Lepisosteus oculatus: one gene and its partners. The protein of the gene in region 3 binds, or shares a complex with, the protein of the main gene of each other region. Links are inferred from orthologs where the notes say so. Each region holds a gene or a part of one and is shown on either strand. Other genes may lie near its edges.

Region 1 (7,031 bases), on a different chromosome or scaffold from region 3:
CCAAAAGGCCTTGTCTGTTCCGTAATGTTTCTTATTAAACAGATTCTACAGCATGCCTCTAAAAACTATTTTCATTTCTTTGTATTTGGGAATTTGACAATTTTCACTTTTACTTTGCCAGCACCTTAAAGTACTCCTACACAGCATTAACATATAAGCATGTGTACTGTGCAGCAATGCCAAACTCAATATAGTCATCAGAATACCAGGAGTCATGGTGGTGTGTTTTATAAAGATATGGTCAGGCTAAAATAGGAGAACTTATTCTTACTTATACTGTACATACCTCTTTCCCAGCTTTTAACAGGTAAGGCAACAAAAGGTACAGAGGGTCCATTGGTGTTACATACAGCAGTCTTCCATCTACAAGTATTTTTTAATTAAACAGAAAAGTATGTTGTCTACAGATTAAAATAATACACAGGTATTGTTAAACAAAATTGTCTATATTGTCCACTATATTGGCAACAAGAGAGTAAGCACACATAAATGTTCAATTTTTAAAAATTGTAGAAGCTGCTCTGACATAAATCTTTATAACAGTAACTTCAGTTGCCAAAAAAGACTAGATGCAGTGACATATGCTATTACAGCAGGCAGAATTTAATAAGTTTAAATATGTTTTGGTTAGTTATTTTAAGTTTGAGTTCCTGACCTAATTCTGAGCACAGTGTGGTCTAGTGTGTGAGAAAGCATGATTCTCTACTCGCCACACAAGATCGAACTCCACAAATTTTATAATGTATGAAAAAATACTTTGTTTATTGAGTCTTAATCTATGAGGAGTTTAAAATTAAAAACTATTACTTCTTATTTCATAACACTCACCTCGCTGCACTGTTTGTCCAATAAACCAGGAGTGATAATCTTCATTAAAAGCTTTCACCTCATACAGCTGCAGGTCGCCACCCCCAAAGAGGTACAGAGAACCAACATCTAGTAGAGAAGCAAAGGTACTGTAACTCTCAAAATTGGCTGACCTGATATAACTTCCTCTGTCCCCTATCTTGCATGACATAACTTGTACTGTACAGAGTGTTGAGCTGTCAAAGAAGGGTTAACATCTTTCTCTACATGTAAGTGGTGGATAAACTGTGACTACAGGACCTGATGCAGCATATTTCTCACCTAAATATCAACATACGTGGAGGTTGCAAAGGAACAAGTAATAGGTTTATTCCATGCTGAAAAGAGAAGAAAGAAAACACAACGTTTTGGCCGTGGAGCCTTCTTCAGGTGTGACTGGTTTCTGGGAAAACTGGTCCTTGGTGTGAGTGTGTGCGTGTCCGTGTCTGTCGGATAGGCTCCACCACCACACTAAACTAAACTGGAAGAACTGGTTAAAAATGGATGGATGGATATTAACCTGCACGATTTTGCAATTTCTCTCCAAATTTATTTGACTGACAACGTTAGAAACAGACTGCAGATTTCTCTTTAGCAATAGAAAAAGACATCTCCCACCTCCTTTTCTGTCTCAGGATTTCTCCAAATACAACAGCTTTATGTTGTAAACCCTTGTTCACAGAAAGGAAAAATGCCACCTACCAGCCGTTAAGAAAGAATGGCGGATTGCTTACTTGATGCAGGATTTCGAAGATGAACAAAAACAGGATCACTGTTTGGCTTCTTTTTTCCATCAATGACTGAATCTGTAAACAGGAGGGAACATGGATATTCACAGATCCAGGGGTCTTCTAAAATACACATCAAAATCTACTGAGTATTTAACTATCGTGTACCACTAAAATGATCAAATTATTCAGAAAATGTCCCTTAGGCCTTATAATTAAATATGACACAAAACATAAAACTATAATCGTACAGAAGAATTAGGCAGGTTTTTCAGAAAATGTTTAAAATTGATTGGACAATGTACTGGTCAAAAACGTGTATGTAATGTCCAAACAGTAATTGGTCAGGCATTAAACAAAACAAACCAAGCAGATATGAAACTGGCACTACAGTATCATTTATTTATTGGGCCTTGTATTTCGTGTTGCTACAATGTCAAGCTGGTCCTTTTTATACTATGAACAGGCACCAAAGAAAAGTAGCCCAAGTTTCGGCGTTAACAATTCAAAGTTACGAACACCATTAAGACATGTTTCAACAGATCCCTTTATCGTATAAAGCAAAACTATAAAACCAGTAACACAGCTGTATTTTCTACGTGAACATTAAAATATGAAGGCTGTTCATCTTGTTCAAAGCAGTCCCGACAGTTTTTGAGAGCCTCGGTCGGCGTACATTTCAGAATAGACTAATTCAAGAACGGAGCCAACAGGATTAAACGAGGAGGAGGGAGGTGGTCGTGGCATCTCAATGCTGCGTTAACTTTTATAATAATTTCGTTTACTTATTTTATTTGCTCACTGCAAAAATGGAAATGAGAGGGGCACATAGTGCTGAAAAGCACCGATATACTACTCTGTCATACATCATTTCCAAGGCCGAGAACTATATCCACCACAGTATTTTTCGTGTGAACCCGTGCAGAATATCCTTGCTCTGTCTCTCGTGAAAACTGTCAATACCTTTAAGGAGAAGTAATTGTTTAAAAAAAAACACTTAAAGCAGCGATTAAGTTTGCAGGACAGACGTCTTCACACACCTCGGTTCAGAGATGGGCATGGCGGCTGTAACCTGCATTAAAGCCGCCTAGAGTCGACCCCGTATAGCTTACCTGCAGCTATAACAACCCACTGGTCTGCCTGCGTGTTTGACTGACGCTTTCTTCTTGTAGTCATGTTTGGAAAAGTTTTTTAAAAAGGCTGTAAAACATAAATTGTTATGCGAGAGTACTAACAAAACTAAGAAGCTAAAAATGGCGGTAAAATTCTTAATAACTTCGACGGGGGAAGCATATCTTTAAGACTTTTTACACTGATGTATAAAAAGAAAGATATATTTTTCAGAAAATAACGAAATCATATAATGTTACTAATGTACAGTCTGTTGATGTAGACCACTTTTATGACAAGAGATCACACAGGGTTGTTACGCTTCTCTGTTCAGTGAATTCCCTTAAAATTGGTCTGTCCCATTGTCGTCATTTTAAAGAGACAGTGACCCACTCCTTCCTTTTTTGTGTCACGAGTTTACTTAAATCGCACATCTTTTTTCTAAAACAAAAACATTGCCTTATTTTTCTTAGTACAATGCAGATATCCTGCTTTATTCTAAATTTAATAATACCGTGGGGTGTCGGAAACGTTAAAGTGGCAGCATGTTTTTCGTTTCTGCTTTATGAAATGAACTGCAGAAAATAGTTGCTCCGCTTTTATTTATTCTTGGTAAAAATTATATAAATACTCTTAGAAATTCAGTTTTCGAGCTAAGAGGCTCGCCACAATGCATTTTATTTCTGTAGCGTAAAGGGACAAAGGGGTACGTGACTCACCCTGTATTTATTCTATCCTATCACATTAATAATGAATGTTATTTACACCAGTGCTGGTACAGTACACAGTTCTTATATACAGCTGGATGAACAAAACACGTGTACAAAATGTAGAGATTTCAGCACTGAAATTAAGACTGGTCCGAGCGAGGAAAACTAATGGTGAAATGCAGTGCTCAACTTACACACAATTTCAGAGTGAGTAATGAGCTTTTGCATAGACAAGCTTTGTATCTCTTCGAAGAAAAATGAGATTAGCATTATCAATGCAAAGCTGCAAAAAGTACGTTGTGTAAAATAAGAAAAGCGTGTCTGTGAGGATAGGTAGCGTCACATAATGTACCCCATCTGTACAAATGTGCAGTGTGTTAGCCTGTATAAGTCTATAATGTGTAATTAATATTAAAAATTACTTTTACTTTTATAGAGACTAAGGATGCAATAAATCCGAGAGTCCGTATAGTCCCTTCATGATTTTGGAACAGTTTGTCAATTAAAATCCTAATAACACTGGGCTGTGAAATTCAACATAGTGTTTTAACTCACGCCTGTACTCCAGCAAAGATTGCATTGTCGTTCGCTCACATTTATGTTTGTATTTACAGTGTTAGTGTTAATTTGGGCTTGTTGTTGTGTTCGCTATTTTCCACTTAATCCAAACGCAAATACATGTTATTTAGGGTGGTAGGAGTGGGGCGTGGATTTACACACCGGTTCTTTTCTGTGTGTAAATTCGAAAACAATTCCTTTGTTTCATCACATACTGTGTAGGGTATTTACTAGGGCGTTATAAGGGAGAGCCCTTCGTCCGTGATGTGAACCAGCACTCCTAACTGCTCACAGCTGCAGTTTGCATAAATGCGCCATTTATACAACAATGTGAAATATCTCATCGGAGCTTTACTACACTTAGGATGATGTTTTAAACCATGCTCATGTTGCACAACATCCTCCCATTTTCAATGCGCATACCCCGTCGCAAAACGTGGTGCAAAAAGTTGCTTTGTATTTATACTCTGAAAGGTGACCGATTTGTAAGATGAAAAACGGTCGCGTTCTCTGCCCCTTCTCTACGCGGACCTACTGAAAATGAAATTCCCATCTGCACCAGCCATTGTGAATATTTTTTTTTAAATAGAATAATACACCCTGTCGTAAAGGATAGGAATTTGGTTATCTTTAAACGCCCCTGTCTCCCTCATGGCGAAAACCAGTTCTGCCGTATTTTTACATTTCAAAAGACGGAGAAGCGCATCCTGGTTGGGTAGGATCAGCAGCGCCCCTCAATAACGGAAATCTGGTGGTGCGCAAAGAGCGCTTGAACTGTGCCGGGCAGCCCGTCGGAGCCGCTTTGTGAGACTGTTTCGCACCTGCTCTCGAAGTTAAGAGCGCAGGGAGGGGGGCTCCTGCTTGCGGGGTCGCTTTTTGGTTCCGAGCCGTATATATATATATTTTTTCTTTTTCTTGTTGCGGCTTGGAGGTAGTAAAATGCAGGCGGAGGTCTTACTGAACGCGTCCATCGCGCATCAGGCAGAAGCGCTGAAGCTGCTGCAGCAGCAGGTGGACCTGAAACAAAGAGGCGGCGTGACGCGCGACAGATGCGGCGGGCAAGCGCCCGTCTCCGGCAGGAGCTCACTGCGGGAGCGCGTTAACCCCAACGACGGGGCTGTTTTGAAGAGGGGCTCAGGCTGGCCGGCTCGATCCGACAGAGGATGCGAAGTCCGTACTCTAGCCGTGAGAGCCCGAGAAAGTGCCTTTTGTAAGTTAACCGAGATAGCTTCCCAAGTTATTTCCACGGAGCAAGACATTTGCCGCTTTCTCTCCCCGAACCGGGGAATCGTAATGCACCCCAAGGTAGGAGACTGTCTGCTGGTGTTTCTTGTTGAAATATAAAATGTAGGGGGGGGCAGTTATAAGACTTTTAGGTTTCATTAAATTAAAATCGACTTTTCAAAGTGTTTATAAACTGATTTTAGATGGTAGCTAAAGATCGTGTTACAGTCTTGTGCTCCAGCGTTTCGTTTCATTCAGTAATTTTCAGACAGCCTTTTTAGTTGGGTTGAGGATCGGCGCGACCACCTTTGTACAAAAAATATCCAGTTCTGGAGCTGGACGGCCAAAAATTCTTGCAGCATATACCGAATTATTTATAAGCAAGAATGTGATGTTCTAGGGATGAAAAAACACATTTCACGTTATATTCGTTGTAATGGCAGTCCTCACTGGCGACAATGTGATGGACGCTTACTTTAGACATTAGCTCACAGCGCTAAACTGAGTTTGATAAAGAAGTACAGATAACCAAAAATACTTAAACTTTGGGTCTATTTCTTGTCCAGGAGAGCTGGATATAAGAAAATCTTCTGTCACTCTTAATTTCCCCGTTTATGGAGACTGGGAACACGCGAGATTTGATTCATTTAGCAAGCGACTCGGTTCAATACGTCAGGCGGGGGTGACATGGTGATGGTATTTTCGTTTCAAGTGATCTCTACCAACTTCTGAGTCGAGCAGTTGACTCATAAAACCTGCTTGGCGAGTTTCCAAACCCAGGGTTACCCTGGTAAAATGTATAAATTAAATTGGCTCGTGAGTAAAAAAATGTAGGAATGTAAGAAAACCTGCTCTCACTATTCAGCCCTTCACTAATTGGAAATGGTTTTAAATATTTCTAAGAAAAACAGGTAAGATGTGTTTTATCTGGGTGGAGTACTGGAGTGTTGACTGTGGTAATACCCCAGTGCAACAGATAAGTGAACCATAAAACAAGGCCTGGAGGTTTAGTGTGGTTAATACGACAGTTTAGGTTTGTGTCAAATATTCGGCTGTTTTGTCGCTATGTGTTTTAATTCTAGAGAATGTTCTGTGCTCATTTTTCTTATTGGGTATCATGTTTTCTCTGGTTCTAATTGCTCTTTTTCTGCCTTTTGTCTCCTAAAGGACAGTATTGATCTCCAAAACATCTGTATACGCATGGCGGCACGGGCCGATGGGCACCAGTCAGACAAGGACTTGAAAGAGCTAAGGGACTGCTTGAAAACCATTGTCGACAGCCTGCTTTTGTCCCTGAGTCACTACAGCTCTCCTTCACACACACAGGCAAGAGGACAGCTCCTGCAAATCTGTGAAACGTTTCCTGACGTTTGAAAAGTCCTTATCCTCAAAAGGGGGCTTCAGCATAGGAAATCACTCTTTCATACTTCATGGATTGAATTACTGTACGGAGGTTGACCTTTTGCAGAAACCCAGAAAGAGAAGTGTGATACCATGTATTTTTTTAATGTATTACTTCCGTTGAACAGCTCAAAAAAGCTGTGATTGCTTAGTGTTCAACTGAAGGAGTAGGAGGATGGACCATGTAAGAATCAAGTGGCCCAGGAATGCTCCATCCAATCTGATAACATTTTCACTTTCTAAAAGTAGAGCAAAAACATGGCAGATAACTAGATTGCTGGTAACAGATAGCAGCTGTAAAATAGCTCCTTTCATGCCCGCTGTATCATGAGTGATCTTAGTTTAATAAAGGAAAGACTGTGTTTATTCTCACATTCGTTTATCTGGGAGAGTGAAGATCAGAAACCGTTATAACAAAATTTCCAGAAATATTTTTGTTATGAGTACTTCTATT
Region 2 (7,869 bases), on a different chromosome or scaffold from region 3:
ATTGCTCTGTTTTACTCTCCAATTCCCCCGTCTGGCTCCAAGAACCTCTGTGTGTTTATTTTAGTATTTCAGCACCTGGTGTTAAGAGAGTTACTTCACACAGACACACACAAAGTTCTGGCGTGGGGTGGAGGGGTGTCAAGGAATGGGGCGCGGGTGGCCCTCTCCAGCCCTGTTGCTCGGCTGCTCTCGGGGTCACCCGGGACAGAAGAGTCGGTCAGCTAGGCTCCACACAAGGGCTCGTCCCGTTCTTTATTAATAAGACATCAGAGCACAGAGCACAGCATTTCCCCCATCACCTCACAGCAGGCTGTAGGGCCTTCCTGGCACAGGCGGTCAGTCCGAAGGTCGAACTCGAGCAGCAGGGAGCTGTCCTTCACTGTCCACACCGACTGAACCGTCATCGCAGCGGGCTGGGGGGAGACCAGGCTCACGGAGCTCGGCCCCTGTGTGTGTGTACATATGTGTGTCTGCAGATATACGTGTGTGTGTGATGCTATATACATGTGTGCGGGCAGGTTACTGCCTCCTGGTTCCAGGTGCGAGGCTGTAGAGCTTTTCTAGTCTTCGACAGGCCCGTGGATCTGAGGGAGAGAGAGACTGTGAGTCTGGGACAGCGTGGATCTTAGGGAGAGAGTCTGGGAGTCTGGGACAGCGTGGATCTGAGGGAGAGAGAGTCTGTGAGTCTGGGACAGTGTGGATCTGAGGGAGAGAGTCTGTGAGTCTGGGACAGTGTGGATCTGAGGGAGAGAGTCTGTGAGTCTGGGACAGTGTGGATCTGAGAGAGAGAGACTGGGAGTCTGGGACAGCGTGGATCTGAGGGAGAGAGAGTCTGGGAGTCTGGGACAGCGTGGATCTGAGGGAGAGAGAGTCTGGGAGTCTGGGACAGCGTGGATTTGAGGGAGAGAGAGACTGGGAGTCTGGGACAGCGTGGATCTGAGGGAGAGAGAGACTGGGAGTCTGGGACAGCGTGGATCTGAGGGAGAGAGTCTGGGAGTCTGGGACAGCGTGGATCTGAGGGAGAGAGTCTGGGAGTCTGGGACAGCGTGGATCTGAGGGAGAGAGTCTGGGACAGCGTGGATCTGAGGGAGAGAGTCTGGGACTCTGGGACAGCGTGGATCTGAGGGAGAGAGAGACTGGGACTCTGGGACAGTGTGGATCTGAGGGAGAGAGACTGGGAGTCTGGGACAGCGTGGATCTGAGGGAGAGAGACTGGGAAAGCGTGGATCTGAGGGAGAGAGAGTCTGTGACTGGGAGAGAGACTGGGAGAACCACTCACTGCTCCCGCGATGTCCGGCCAGCTCATCGCCATGGCAACGCCATCGTCCGAGGAGGGCGGCGTCTCCAGGTTCCAGTAGGTCAGGCTGCTGAAGACCGTCCTGACCCTCAGTGAGCGCTCCTGGCCGAGACAGAGCAGAGCGCGCCCCCCCACAGGTGAGTAAGACAGCCCCCCGGCTGTGGAGTCGAACCCGGGGCCCCAGGAGCTGACGGCTCACGTCACACAAAATTAACTTTTTTTTTCCAAGGAAGAAAGTGCCCAGTGATTATTCCTCCTCCGAAACTCCCTCCTGCTCGGGCTCACCTGTGCCCCCCCCCCCCCCCCCCCACACCCCGGCGCTCACCTCCTCCTCGGAGACGGGCCTGTGGTCCTCTTTCAGCACCAGGCCCGTGTAGCCCTCCGGACAGCTGACCTCCCGGCCTCTGAGCCCACGGCCCCGGAACGACACGCTCTTGTCTGGGGGGGGGACAAGGTCACGCAAGGTCACAGGAAACCCCACCTTAAATACATTTAAGACTGAGAATGGGAGGTGCCACTTTACACCAAGAGTTGTGGGGGTGTGGAACAAGCTGCCCAGCCCTGTTGTCGAAGCCGATACCCTGGTTTCCGTCAGGACACAGCTGGAGGAGCTCCTCCAGGCAGGACAGGAGGCCCTTTACACAGAGGGTGGCGGGGGTGTGGAACAAGCTGCCCAGCCGTGTAGCTGAAGCCGATACCCCGCCTCCTCGGAACGTCTGGATGAAATCCTGGGATCAGTTACTACCGACTAGGGAACGGGCCAGGGGAGCTGCTCACACTGGGGCCGAGCCGGGCCACAGGTCGGGTCTGCCGGTCTGAGGCCCGGCTCGCTCACCGCTCTCGCGCTCCTTGACCGCGGCGCTGAAGAAGCGGTCCACCTGGGCCGGCCCGTCGTGCTCGACCTCGCAGGGCAGGAGGTGGACGGGCTCCCCGTCGGCCCGCGAGACGGAGGCCAGGTCCACTCGGATCACACTGGTGCCGGACATCCTGGAGGAGAACACAGGCCGTCAGTCTCCCCTGTGCACCGGTCAGTCTGAGCCGGACTCTCCTCTGTGCACCGGTCAGTCTGAGCCGGACTCTCCTCTGTGCACCGGTCAGTCTGAACCGGACTCTGCCCTGTGCACCGGTCAGTCTGAGCCGGACTCTCCCCTGTGCATGGGTCAGCCTGAGACGGACTCTGCGCTGTGCACCGGTCAGCCTGAGCCGGACTCTCCCCTGTGCACGGGTCAGTCTGAGACGGACTCTCCCCTGTGCACGGGTCAGTCTGAGACGGACTCTCCCCTGTGCACCGGTCAGTCTGAGCCGGACTCTCCCCAGTGCACAGGCCCCGTATCCCTCAGTATAGATCATCAATCGGGTCAGTACCGAATGCACCGGGAGCACCCGGCCAGAACTGTCTTTTCGAGAAAGCTGACTGTTTATTTGTGTTCACTGGTGTGCAGGCTGCACCTCTCGGCCTCTAGAAACACACTCAAGCCAGGGGGAATCCAACAGCTCAGCCGTCCCGAAAAAAGTTCATCAATCAGAAAAGGTTTTAAAACATGAACGACACCGACACACTCTTTAGCTAAAACTAAAGGCAACATTTCAGCGGAAAAGACGGACAACGCGTTCTTTGAGCAGACTTACACTAACGGAGCAACACGGCTCTTTAAAACACAGATTTTGGCACAAATTAACAAAGGAAAAGCAATTGAACGGAAGCAAACCTCTAGCGCGCGTCTTCAGGCACAAATTCAGTCCGCGCTGCCGTGTCATCACTTTGCGCCGGGCGCTTGTAGGCTGCGCAGCGATCCCTGGGAAATGTAGTCTTGGGACGTGACCCGTGTGCTTCTCACCTTGCCCACAAGAGGTCAGTGTTGTCTGCCACATCGCCGTGGCGGCGCTCGCTACAACAGCTTGTTTACACGATGCAAGGACCCAGAATTTCTTCCTGCGGCCAAAACACTTGCTGTGCGTACAAAGGACAGACATAAAGAGTATACAACTTAAATTCTTAACTGAATAAAGATTCTCCCTCAGCAGTGATCGGGATTCGAAACCGGGTGTTTTCTGGCGACAGCTCAAATGCTGTACAGGAGAGGTTAAGCTTTATTAGCGCCACCTGGCGGTTTTACAAGGTGATTGTAATGTTTTACTATTAACATAATCTAATTTGCCTACGGTGTGGCGCGGTATGACGCGTTTAGATGCAATACGCCCACCGCGTTGTACCGCAGCGTAACCCGCTTGTTTTGAATGGCTGCATCTGTGTAATCAGTGTAAAATTAACAGCGATACCATACAATACAGTGCATCTTTGTATTGGCGCATACATGCAAAAAAGCATTTCATTGCACTTGTGCGTACGACGATAAACTGAAGTGCTGAGAAAATCTGCAGAGTCGCGTGTGACGTGTGTATGTGCCCTGAGGGGCTCGTGGATCAGAGTTGGAAACCATAAAGGCGCTGGGGATGAATGACTTCTAAAAAATGTTGCCGTAACCTTCGGCACTCTGAAACGTCATCGCGGCGGTCCTTTTTCAAAGTGGGACCGCAGTGAATGTGAGGCGTCGTTCACTGAGAACACTGCTTCACTGTGATCGGTGTACGTGCGGATACGGATACCGATATTCAGAACAAGGCCCACTCTCCACAGACTAGCCGCGTGTATCTGTAGGCGGGCTCAGTTCTCTCTCTCTCTTCTCTCTGGGCTTTTATTTCCAGAGTCCTCTCCTGGCTCCGGTTCGTAAGAGTGGATGCTTTATCTGTATCGGTCGAATGTTCTTCCCTGCAGGAGGTCAGATAAGGCCCTATCGTCCGCACGCAGACGCGAGAGGAAAAAAACAGCGCTGTCGGTGATCTGCGTTTCATCCGTGTGGAGCGAGAACTGCACTGGCTGACAAAACCCATCGTCACCAACGCCCTTCCCCGACAGCAGGGCTCTCTGGGATCGATCACTGAGGAAACAGGTGCCGAACCACTCAAATCTGTATTAATGATGACATTTTAAAAATATGTTATGAAAACATGGAGAAATGGCAAATAACACATTTATGCATATTATTATTATTATTATTATTATTATTATTATTATTATTATTATGTGCTACCACACAGCGCCTTAGACCTGAGTCAATTCTCCTGGACCTGGATCCTTCTGGGTGGAGTCTGCATGTTGTCGGCCTGGCCCGAGCTCTGGGGGGGCCGTAACGTCTGTGAGTTTTCCTGCCTCCTCAGCGCTGGTCGATGTGTGGGTGTGGCTGATCAGCGCACTGCTGCAGTTTGACACCTTTCTGTGGCCGTGGCTGCTTGCTGTCGAAGTGAGACATGTATACATCTCACTCGTCCGGCATCACAGCAGCACCACTTAAGCACATCGTGAGAGGAGTTGCTGGGGTCTGGTAATTTAGCAAATTAACACAAAAGTTACACTAAGATGCCATAAAGCTGATTTGCTTTAGCAGCCCCAGTGGCTTAACGCTACATAGTAAACAACAGGAACAACACCCACAAACAGGACACAGCAGACCAATGTCTACTGCAGCTCAAAGGACAGAACCCAGAGCAAGACAGAGCAGGACAAGAGGTTATTACATATCAAAGAACAGGACAAGCACTCGGATCGTGAAACAAACTTTCTTCTGACTGTCTATAAGAGCTGGGAGACCCTTGCAGCCTGTCTGTTCTGTGGGGCCGACCCAGCGAGCGTTGTGGGACTTATTGAGCTCAATAAAACTGAATCTGCACAAGGCTGCGTCCTGCTCCTCTGAGGAAGAATTCCCCACAACACTGCCGATAAAGGCAGTACTTCCTGTTGGCACTGCACTCTGAGATCAGATAAGATCAGATCAGACTTTAGTTGAGGCGTTTGTGAGTTTGTGAGTACGATCCCTCCCAGTGAGACCCTGCAGGCTCCACGGAGACACAGCGAGGAATCAAGAGTCCAGCTCACCTGACATTCGGCAGGAGGTGTGATTCTACAGAGCAGAGCAGTAACACGTCAGAGACGATGGGCTGCAGTCCGGCCCGAGCTCATCTTGTTGATTCAGTGCCCTGATGGCACTCCGAAAATAGCTTTTAGGTGAGGTTGTGACTTTTTCATTTTTGTCTTTTTTTTTTTGTGCAAGTGCCGGAGCGATGAGTCTCTTGTGACCCAGCCCGTGTGGTGTTCTGCCCTGCTGACAAGATTGAAAACGACTCACATCTTCTTCATGGGTCCGAGGTGTCCAGTCCTGGAGGGCCAGGGTGTTCAGAGATGATAGAATCAGCTCTTGAATTCAGACATGTGAAGCTAAATTGTGTTATTTACCAACATCTTGAACTGATTTTTATCGCCTCAACACACACCAGTATAGTTGGTTATATTATACTGTTATAGTATAACATAGTTTGTTATATTACACTATACTGGAAAAAGGCGCCGTCCTTCGGATGAGACGTAAAACCAAGGTCCTGACTCTCTGTGGTCATTAAAAACCCCAGGGCGTTTCTCAAGAACATTCAGGGTGTAACCCCAGTGTCCTGGCCATATTCCCCCCTGGCCTTCACCCATCATGGCCTCCTAATAACCCCCCTCTCTGAACTGGCTCCATCACTCTGCTCTCCTCCCCACTGAGAGCTGGGGTGTGGGGAGCGGACTGGAGCATCATCCAGGTGGGGGTGGAGGGGATCCCCATGACCTGTAAAGAACTCTAAGTGGAGGGCCCAGAAAAGCGCTATATAAGTGTGAGCAATTATTACTATTATTGTTGTTATTATAGTAGAGAGCACAGATCCAGATCCGGGATCCGGAGCGCCCTACTGCGTTTGTATCGGCTCCGCTCCGAGCTCCGGCTCCGGGTCTTGCGGAAGTGTCCGTGCTCGGCAGCTCGGGAGCGCGCTCTGCGCTCGCCTGGGCTGGGTGTGTGTTTCAAAAGATTTAGCAACACATGCGACCGAGAGGCGGAGGCGAGGCTGTGAAATAGGAACTCAGACTCGCCCGGAGAGTTCAGAGTCACACATACAGACCGAGAACACGGCCGATAGAGAAAGGGCAAGGTACAGTAAACCAGCTTTTTCTGCTGCAAAAAAAAAAGAAAGTTTTGGAAAATCGCGCATCTTTAGTCACGGGGTCTCTGACAGCTCTGCTGCTGCTGTTGGGTTTGGTCCCGGGGGGTTCGGCTCAGAAACTTCTTGGGGCCACCGCGCAGGGAACTTGGGGTAATGCGATCGAGCTCCTCTGAGCCAAAACAGGGAGGGAGAAGAGGGGGGGGTCGGCGTGGGCGTCTCGCCAGGGCGGCAGCTTCACAAGAAGACAGAGGAAAAAGCGCAGCTTCCGCGTCGAGCCCTCGCTGAGCGCAGACTCGTCACAACAATCAATTCGCGTGGCTCCAGCGGGGTTTCGACTCTGGGAGCGTGCCCGTGTCGTGTCCGTGTCGTGTCGTGTCGTGTCGTGCGGGGCCGTGCAAACGCACCGTGGCGCAGCGAGTCGTTGTTAAACACGCACAGTACTGGCCCCCAGCCGCGGAGCTGCGGAGCTCGCTCTCTCTTCCTCTTCCTCTGCAGGAGCGGTTTGTCGGAGCCGATCTCTGGATACCCTGTGATGGGGTATTTCTCGCGCTCCTGGGGGGGGCATTTTGAAACGAGCAGACGCTGGCGAGTTCTGGGCACGAGGCGTGTGTGGGTGTGAGAGGGGAGGGGGGTGTGTGTGGGTGTGTGGGGGGGCCGGGAGTTCACTGTTGTTCCGTGTGGGATACTGCAGTATCCCGGTGGGAAGGGTGTTTCAGACAGCGGCCTGACAGTGTGTCTGTGCATCAGCGTGTGTGACCGTTGTCTCAGGTGTGCTGGAGTCTGGGACAGTCAGAGAGAGACTGTGTGTGTGTCAGTGTGTGTGTCAGCTTGTGTGACAGTTGTCTCAGGTCTGCTGGAGTCTGGGACGGTCAGAGAGAGACTGTGTGTATCAGTGCATCAGTGTGTCAGTGTGTTTGAGTTCTGTCTCAGGTCTGCTGGACTCTGGGACAGTCAGAGAGAGACTGTGTGTGACTGCTGTCTCAGGTGCTGTTGCAGGAGCAGACTGGGAGTCGGAGAGAGAGAGACCCCACACAGGGGCTGCCCACACTGCCTGTCCCAGAGCATCACTGAGCCAACAGCTGGAGCCCTGGGGCAGTGAGCAGAATATTCACTGAACGGACTCCTGCTGGCCCTTCCTCTCTGAGCACTGGTGCACCCTCCTCCTGAACTTGAACTTGATCTTTATTGCCATATGTAACCGGTACTGGTACAATGGAATTCTTACTGACAGGAAGTCTCTCGATTGTAAAACAAGTGTAAAAAAACAAAACAAAGTGCAAACAGTGCATCAAGACAATATACAAACAAACAGTAGACAATGTGCAAGTAAACATGCAGACAGTTTGAATGTAAACAATACAGACGTGTAAACAATGACTGGAGACGTACAATTAATAAATTACAATGAGGTAGATGGTGATGGTGTAGGTGTGGTCCGAGGGCGATGGCTAAATGTGTTCGCCAGTCTCACTGCTTGTGGATAGAAGCTATTGAAGAATCTAGTGGTCAGTGTCCGTATGCTCTTATATCTCTTGCCTGAG
Region 3 (7,459 bases):
ATATCCACCTAAGTGCTGGCTGAAATGAAAGAGTCCGAGACAGTGCAAAGGCATCCAAAGGCAGAAGAAAGTTATTTCTTCCCCCAGGGCAGTGCCCGGAGCCAAGGCCGATGGGTAGGAAATAGGCTCACCTTGGCACAGATACTGGCGGCGCTGACAATGGGGAAGAGGGAATCAGCTTTGGGCCGGACCGTGACCACTATGCCTGGGAAGCGCTGGGACAGCTTCTCCTGGTACTTCTCAGCTGGGCCCACTGTGTCAACGAACAGCTGCACACAGCCGGGTGGAGAGAGAGAGAGGCAGGAGCAGAGGAGGAAAGAGGGCAATGGGGGGGGAAAAAGATCTTTTGTTTAATTATTGAAAACACGGGCTAGGAAGCAGAGCTCAGACTCAGTTTTTGAACTGCATGGAAAATACAGAAGATGCACCATACCTCTTTGACCTGCACGCCACAGTCCAGCGCATACTGCACCAGCCCTATCGCTGCGTCGTGGGAAAGGGCATTCAGATTGTATTTCGCCCTGTTGGAGAGCAGACGGCAAACCCATCACCTGCTTCAGCATCTAATTCACAATGTGAGCTACAGCACACTGCGGTGCGCGAATTGATTAGTGCAATTTAACAAACAATGAGGTAAACGGGGTAGACACTAGAATCTCCATATGTGTACACTAATATTCTTTTGGTGCCCATTCGTGTTCCCAGTTCATTACCGGACATAATTAAAACAAAAAACACCTCTGAACTCGCTGGCCTCAGCTTTCCCACAATCCTCCCTCCCGCAGCCTCAACGTCTGCCCCCCCCCTCTGCAGCGTCTGCGTCAGGCCATGCACGACGCCAGCCCAGGCCAAAATCGGGGTCCTGCCACGCGCTCCCGACCACGCCCAGCCCGCGCAGAGCGGTGGCCGGCAGGGGGAGCAGGGAGGCGTCGTACCTCTGCAGCATGCCCGTGGAGATGGTGTTGGGGGAGAGGATGTGCAGGGCCCAGCCCACGTAGCTGTTGGCCTCCTCCAGCTGGCCGAACAGATTCTCCCGCTCCACCTCCGACAGGGTCTTGGAATCTGAAAACGAAGCGGGGGAGGAGTCACGGGAACGGACAAGCAAAAACAGGCCTGAAGGAAACGCAGTCCGGCCCGATCATTACCTGCAACTTTCAAATCCTGAAGGTCGGTTTTCTTCGAGATGGGGCAATAGCAGATTCCATAAACCATGGGGCCTAGGAGGAGTATATATATATAAAAAAAGACTCTTTAGTAGACAGAACAGAGCTGTGTTTTTAAAACACAGACAGCCTCACTCACAGCACAAAATAAATTCAACTGGAACTGAAGTAAAACAACGACAGCCCACTCATGTGGGCAGTCCACCTCACCATCTTCAATGGCTAAGCAAGGATCAAAGCCTTCTGGGAGTGAGAAACCTAACCGAGCCAATCTCTTCAATGGGACCCACCAGAAGACAAGCCACAGGAAACCCCTCTGTCCTTGAACACGAACAAGAGCCCACATACCACAGGCCACCTGGGACACATTCCCACCGAGAGGAATTATACACCACTCAGCAGGAAAAGAGTCCGAGTCAAAGCAAAGCGACAGGTCTGATCTGTCCTGCAGACAGGAGGGAAGAATGCCAACACAGAACGTGCTGTATCTGTGCGGTGACGTTCTGAATCGGCACCATGCGTGAAGTTGCCTTACTAGAATCTGCAGCCCAGGACCTGCTACGTGACAGTCCTGCAGGTTTTACTGTCAGAGTTTCAGACTCTCTTTCTTCTGGGTGGCCATGCTTTCTGGTTTCCATTTCAACTTCATTTTAGGCACGTTTATTTCTTTGTATTCTCTGGGATTCTATTCTCACCACACTGGTGGTGGTGGAGGGGAGTCCCCTTTACCTGTAAAGCCCTTTGTGTGGAGGGTCCAGCAAGGACCTATACAAGCCTAAGCTCTACAGCTATATAAATATTATTATTAAAAGTCACTGTGGCTCCTCATACAAAGTCAGAGGATCAACAAAATTATCCAGAGCTCAGCGACAGCAAAGACAGACCCTGCGAGTTTTCCCAAGGGGGGTGGCAGGTTTGCGATTTCTCACCGAGCACGGGGCCCCGTCCGGCCTCGTCGATCCCCAGACAGCAGTCCTCGGTCTTACACACCTCTGGAACAGCCGACGACAGGCGGCAGCTTTGGGAGTTATCTTCCTCGAATTTGCCGAGGTCCATCTTCTTCAACTGCGGGCTCTTTATAAAGAGCCGTCACAAGCGTCCACACTCGGCAAGACTGTAAAATGCTGAATATAAAGCAAACTGACAGTTGAAAATATTGCACGCCCGCTCATATTCCAAAACTGATCGTGTTTCGAACAAGCTATTCGTGAAGCGGTGTCAGCCGGAGCCTGCTGCAGTTTGTGTTAAAGCAGACTGCGTTTTTAAAGGGACTGGCTTCTCCTAGGAAAGGTTTTAAACCTTATGCTGCACAAAAAAAAAACGCTAACTCATCTTTTAGGGTAATCTTTTCTTCTCGGGAAGTCTGCTTTAAAATGGCAGTCGCGAACGGAGAGAAAGCTTTTTTTAATATATGATCGCGACCACTAAAAAGTATCAATTTTACTATGGGTAATCCCTAATACGGTTGAAACATACGCGTTTATTTGTTCGGGCACGGAAAGTAACTAAATGAATAATTCCCCCACGATGGTTTATCAAAATCCGTTTTACCAATTATAAAGCAAAAGTGTTTTAGGTATTTATCGTACTTCACAGCTGATCAAATTTTTACAATGCATGTTCAAAAGATGGGAGTTTTTAATGTATCACGACGGGGGAATTTTAAGTTTCTTTAAAATGTCTCAAATGGTTTTACAAAAACTACTTATCGTAAACAAGAGAGTACTAAAACTCTTTTAATCTCTCTTTTAGGAATACATAAATGATTACAAGCATACAGCGAAACTAGTGCTACTTACAGATTTACACCTACAACTCCTGCAGTTCTGCAGCTTTGCTTAGCGCGCGAGAAACTAACGTTCGACCTTTCACCTTTTGAACTCCTGACGCTATAGTAAATACAAATAAACAATATTTTTTTAATGTGAAACGTAAAAAGAACTACTCAGACTAATGTAATTGTTCTTAAGAGATTAGATTATTCCTCATAAAAGTATAAAATGTTAATAAGTATTATTGTATTTATGTGGTGCGTCATGGGATTTGTAGTTCTTTGTGGTCTAGCGTGCGAGAAAACTACACGAACTGTTCTTTAAAAATATGTAAATATTGGATTCAGTAAAATTACATTCAAAGTAATATGAATATTATTATGTGGAAGTTAGTAATTTGTTATATACACATTTTTAGGCAAAGTAACAGTCAGAAACCAAAATACAATAAAAACAAACTTTTCAAACAAACATCATCTTTTCTTGAAACAATATCCTTACACTTATAAGGCACTTTACAGGTAACCACCAACACCCCACAGTACACTCTCCACCCATCAGTTATCAGTGGAGAGGAGCAATGAAGCCAGTTCGGAGATGGGCAATGATAAGAGGGAAATTTGGCCAGGATGCAGGGGTTACACCCCTACTCTTTTCAAAACAGACCCAGGAGGTCTCCCATCCAGGTACTGGCCAGGTACCTGCTGAGCTCCAATGGGCTGCCAGCTGTGAGTTGATATAGCAATAACATGGTTCTTTCATGTGTGTATCGATCTTTCTATATCCCTCTATATATCTGTTTGTTTTCCAAATGTGTTTCTGTATATTAACCGGTACATTAATAATGTATTTAGTAACGTACTTCGTAATTTTACATGTTTACATTTTTCCCCATATCAATGTTCTCTCGCTTTTCTGTAGGTGAAACTACCAGGCCTAATTTCAGAACATTATTATTATTATATTATTATAATTCTAGATTCGTCTTGAAATGCGACCCGGCGTCACTCTCGCGAGAAGTGGAGTCGGCGGGTTTATCGTGAGGTCACTGGTCACGAGCTCCTCCTGCTGTGGAGTCAAGTGCGAGACCGGAGTTCTGTCTTGCGGACGCGAGAGCGCAGAGCTGTTCGAGCCCTCAGAATAACAACTCGTGAGTGTCCATTGCAGACTGACATGAGATTACACTTTGCATGCCCGGTTAAATTAAGCAATTGCAATTCTGCGTTTTAGTTTTATGCAACTAGTTGTGTGTGTGTGTGAGGAACGTATGCATAGTAAGACTTGATTGTGTCGGGTGGATAGAGCTCAAGAAATGAATGGAGGCGGGCTCTGTCTCCCGCTGTGCTTCATTTTATTCCTTTGTGGAGCGGACTATTATTGAATATGTCGTTTCTATCTTTATACGTTTCTATCTTTATGCGTTCCATAGGGTCAAATGCCGTAGTTTAGTCACACACTTGCTGTGCTGTCTCTTGCATTTGTCATTTATTTGAGAGTAAAGGCTTATTTTCCTTTAGTGCATACTGTGAGCAGAATATGCAGTCCAAATTCCGAAGCGGATTTATTAGGCGAAAATGCGAAACGAGGACAATGAGCTCTTTTGATGCGTTTTGCTGTGTCACTGGAGCTGTTAGAAACAGCGTGTTAGAAGGGAATTGTCTAACTTATCTTGCAGTGACCGAGCCGCAGCTCACTGTGATGATAAGTCTTCCTTGATATCCGATATATTTCGCCCTGCCTTGAAGTCTCTCTATACACTTTTTTTTCTAACCTTCGTGAAGAGCGCCTTTTGTACAATTACTCTAAGACTTCTGTTCTGACCGGTGAATGCGGCGCAGTAATTTAATGAGAAAGGCGCATCGAGTTTCTTAATTTCTCAAGTTCATCTGAAAGATAATCGTAGTTTTTTTCATTACGCGATTAAAACAAGTTTGGGTTCATGCGCTTTCATCGGAAAAGAAAACCGACTAATCTGGGGCTCCCCACTCTGTTGTTGGTTTACACCCCAGCAGAGCTGTAAATCACCAGCGCTGCTTGATGCCTCTTAGTTAACCAACTATCTAAACACGCGAGCGGATAACTTGTTTCTGCGCTCAATACGTGTTTGAGAAATTCCCTATTCCATCCTCGTACTTTGAAGGCTGTTCGCGTTCACAGCTTCAAACTGTTTCTCCTCAAATGTAGGGGCCGTTTGTGCGTGACCTGCTGCTAATAGGTGATTTTTGACGAGTGCTCGCAGCATGTCACGTGTCAAACACCCACACTGGGCGTGTTTTTTCCCCGTAGTGTCTTGATCAGGTAATAGCTGAATGTGGGGGAGTCTGAACTCCAGTCACTGGGGCAGGGAGGAAGTCTGTTATCAGCCGCCGAGATTATTTAATCGTGCCATAAATAAAAAAAATAGAAATCAATTAACCACTCATCAGGAGCTCCGCTGGAATGAAATCCAGAGAGCACATGGGTGCCCCCAAGGACTTGCTCCTTTTTATATCCGGCTGTTTCCAAAGCCGGAGGCACAGGGGAGCTGTAGGATTAGTGACTTGCATGTGACTATGGAGTTCTGCACAGCTCCGTTGTTTTAAATCGGTCTTGGGGGTGACGGGTGTTTATTGCCACCCCTGAAGGCTGCGAGGGGCGCGTGCGAGCGTGTGGTGGGACGGAGACGTCTCGGGGCCCCTCGTGTGCACCCGCGCCCCACCTCCCCCTCCTGAGCGCTCCGTTAGGCTCGAGGTGCTCTTGCCCCTCCCCCACTTTATAGAGCCAGTGCTGGGAAGGGGGACCGAGCGCAGATCTGAGCGTGGGGAATTCTCGAGAAGAAGAAGAGGGGAACCCCCCCCCCCCCTCTGAATTACCCCGGCGAGTTCCTCTTGCTCGAGCGAGGGAAAGGAACGTGTACAGCTGCACGGCCCTCTTCCAGGAAACTGCTACAGCCTTTTCTTACGACAGCAGTTGAGACCGGTTTCTATGGGCCAGTGTCCCAACCAAATCTCCCCCTGGCCTGTACCGATCATGGCCTCCTAATAATCCCCATCTTGAATTGGCTTCATCACTCTGTTCTCCTCCCCCCGATAGCTGGTGTGTGGTGAGTGTACTGGCGCGCTATGGCTGCTGTCGCACCATCCAGGTGGGGCAACACACTGGTGGTGGAGGGGAGTCCCCATTACCTGTAAAGCCCTTTGAGTGGAGCATCCAGAAACATGTTAGAATGATGAAAATGTGGTGAAAAGGGAATCGGGCCGGTCAGCCCTTGTCTAACGGGTGCAGGAGCTGTGTGCCCCATCTCTCCGAAGACCTGTCCTAGCTGAGCTCTCGCGTGCTGGCTGATCCTCCTCGGTGGAGGCTTGCCTTGCGCTGTCTCGGTACTGCCGAGCAATCCAGTGCTGGATTGACACCACCACCCTGCGTCTTTTTTTTTTTCCTTGCAGCCGCCAGCTGGAATGTCTTCTGGGAACGCCAAGATCGGGAAGCCCGCCCCCCACTTCCAGGCCACGGCGGTGGTGGACGGCCAGTTCAAGGAGATCAAGCTGTCGGACTACAGAGGTAACGCGGCGGCGGCGCCATCTCTGCGCCGTTCCCCCGGGGACGAAGTCGCCGACAAGCACAGCCCCGTCTCTCACACGGCGTCTTGGGCTTTTGAGTTTCAGAGCCTTTTTTTTTTGCCTTGCGTTTAACTGTCATGTTCCACCAGAGGTGGAAGTGAAACCAGCCAAAAATACTGAACCACCAAGCTTCTGTTCTGTGAGGCCTGAGAGGGGTCGGCTTTATCACATTAGCAACCTCTCTGTCCACGAAAGAGCTTATGTTTTTGTTCATGGAGGGGAAAGCGCGTCCCTCTGCCCGGAGCAGATCTCGATACGGCATTGGGGACCGTCAGGAAAAAGCCAGATAGGACTCTGGGATTAATTACCTCTTAACTCCGAAAAATGCAAGGCAGGCCACCTACAAACCCACATGAGTTCTGTCAGCTTTCGAAGCGTCTGGTGCAGAATCGTCCTACTGTAGAATTTCCCCCTAAAGGAGTTTTTTTTTCCTCTTTTCTCACCACTCGACTGTCATGTGATGTCCCGTCAAGAATCGGCCTTGTTTCACGGTTTAATGCTTTTTGTCCCCTCTTTCGCTCTCTCTCTCTCTCTCTTCCAGTATGCAGCAGGGATGTTTATCTTCAAGCTGCGTAGGGTTTTTTCAGTGAAGTTTTCCCTGTTCCAATGCCTGTATAATGGTGTTAGAGCAGTGGGTCAACCTCTGACACTCTCTCTCTCTCTCTCCCCCCCCCTCCTCGAATGGCTCGACCCCGCCAGGGAAGTACGTGGTCTTCTTCTTCTACCCCCTGGACTTCACCTTCGTCTGCCCCACGGAGATCGTGGCCTTCAGTGACCGCGCCGAGGAATTCCGCAAGATCAACTGCGAGGTGATCGCTGCCTCCACGGACTCGCAGTTCTCTCACCTGGCCTGGTGAGTGGGGGTCCGGGGGGGGGAGTCAGAGCTCTGCTCGTTCCCTAACCCCCTTCCTTGCTCTGGAACGCA

Evidence for each region.
Region 1: the proteins of rnaseh2a (region 3) and rnaseh2b are in contact, whole or in part, in a crystal structure (PDB 3PUF), measured with the Homo sapiens proteins. The link is inferred for Lepisosteus oculatus from reciprocal best matches to the Homo sapiens genes RNASEH2A and RNASEH2B. Residues at the interface, in NP_006388.2 of Homo sapiens: Val227, Phe228, Ile253, Trp254, Glu255, Ser284, His285, Tyr287, Phe288, Arg291, Gly292, Leu293, Glu294, Ser295, Ala296, Thr297, Ser298, Leu299; in NP_078846.2 of Homo sapiens: His16, Phe18, Lys39, Asn42, Gly48, Ala49, Ile50, Val63, Lys64, Val65, Phe66, Lys67, His70, Phe74, Val79, His86, Phe87, Val183, Tyr211, Gly214, Leu215, Asp218, Tyr219.
Region 2: the proteins of rnaseh2a (region 3) and rnaseh2c are in contact, whole or in part, in a crystal structure (PDB 3PUF), measured with the Homo sapiens proteins. The link is inferred for Lepisosteus oculatus from reciprocal best matches to the Homo sapiens genes RNASEH2A and RNASEH2C. Residues at the interface, in NP_006388.2 of Homo sapiens: Thr11, Asn99, Ser102, Thr103, Leu106, Gly107, Arg108, Val109, Val196, Glu197, Lys198, Leu199, Glu225, Pro226, Val227, Phe228, Gly229, Phe230, Pro231, Gln232, Phe236, Leu245, Ala249, Glu250, Asp251, Val252, Ile253, Trp254, Glu255, Asp256; in NP_115569.2 of Homo sapiens: Pro33, Cys34, Glu35, Val36, Ala37, Val38, Ala42, Pro43, Val44, Gly45, Arg46, Phe47, Phe48, Pro50, Ala51, Arg53, Ser62, Phe63, Arg64, Gly65, Arg66, Cys67, Leu68, Leu134, Glu135, Thr136, Lys143, Gly146, Ala147, Thr149.

The regions. Positions count from the first base shown.
Region 1 is NC_090710.1:26,494,564-26,501,594, reverse strand, and holds the start of rnaseh2b (ribonuclease H2 subunit B), read right to left. Parts: upstream 3,015-7,031; 5' UTR 2,751-3,014; coding exon 2,687-2,750; intron 1,653-2,686; coding exon 1,581-1,652; intron 937-1,580; coding exon 829-936; intron 364-828; coding exon 287-363; intron 1-286. Other genes in the region: dleu7 (leukemia-associated protein 7), read left to right, coding at 4,892-5,257, 6,344-6,550. UniProt on the Homo sapiens protein: Non catalytic subunit of RNase H2, an endonuclease that specifically degrades the RNA of RNA:DNA hybrids. Participates in DNA replication, possibly by mediating the removal of lagging-strand Okazaki fragment RNA primers during DNA replication.
Region 2 is NC_090713.1:22,627,761-22,635,629, forward strand, and holds rnaseh2c (ribonuclease H2 subunit C), read right to left. Parts: upstream 3,081-7,869; 5' UTR 3,007-3,080; exon of another isoform or gene 2,927-3,006; intron 2,285-2,926; 5' UTR 2,284-2,284; coding exon 2,133-2,283; intron 1,736-2,132; coding exon 1,623-1,735; intron 1,400-1,622; coding exon 1,280-1,399; intron 585-1,279; coding exon 561-584; 3' UTR 228-560; downstream 1-227.
Region 3 is NC_090706.1:16,697,679-16,705,137, forward strand, and holds the start of rnaseh2a (ribonuclease H2 subunit A), read right to left. Parts: upstream 3,028-7,459; 5' UTR 2,963-3,027; intron 2,288-2,962; 5' UTR 2,220-2,287; coding exon 2,093-2,219; intron 1,218-2,092; coding exon 1,146-1,217; intron 1,063-1,145; coding exon 936-1,062; intron 522-935; coding exon 434-521; intron 270-433; coding exon 132-269; intron 1-131. Other genes in the region: prdx2 (peroxiredoxin-2), read left to right, coding at 6,373-6,475, 7,234-7,387. UniProt on the Homo sapiens protein: Catalytic subunit of RNase HII, an endonuclease that specifically degrades the RNA of RNA:DNA hybrids. Participates in DNA replication, possibly by mediating the removal of lagging-strand Okazaki fragment RNA primers during DNA replication.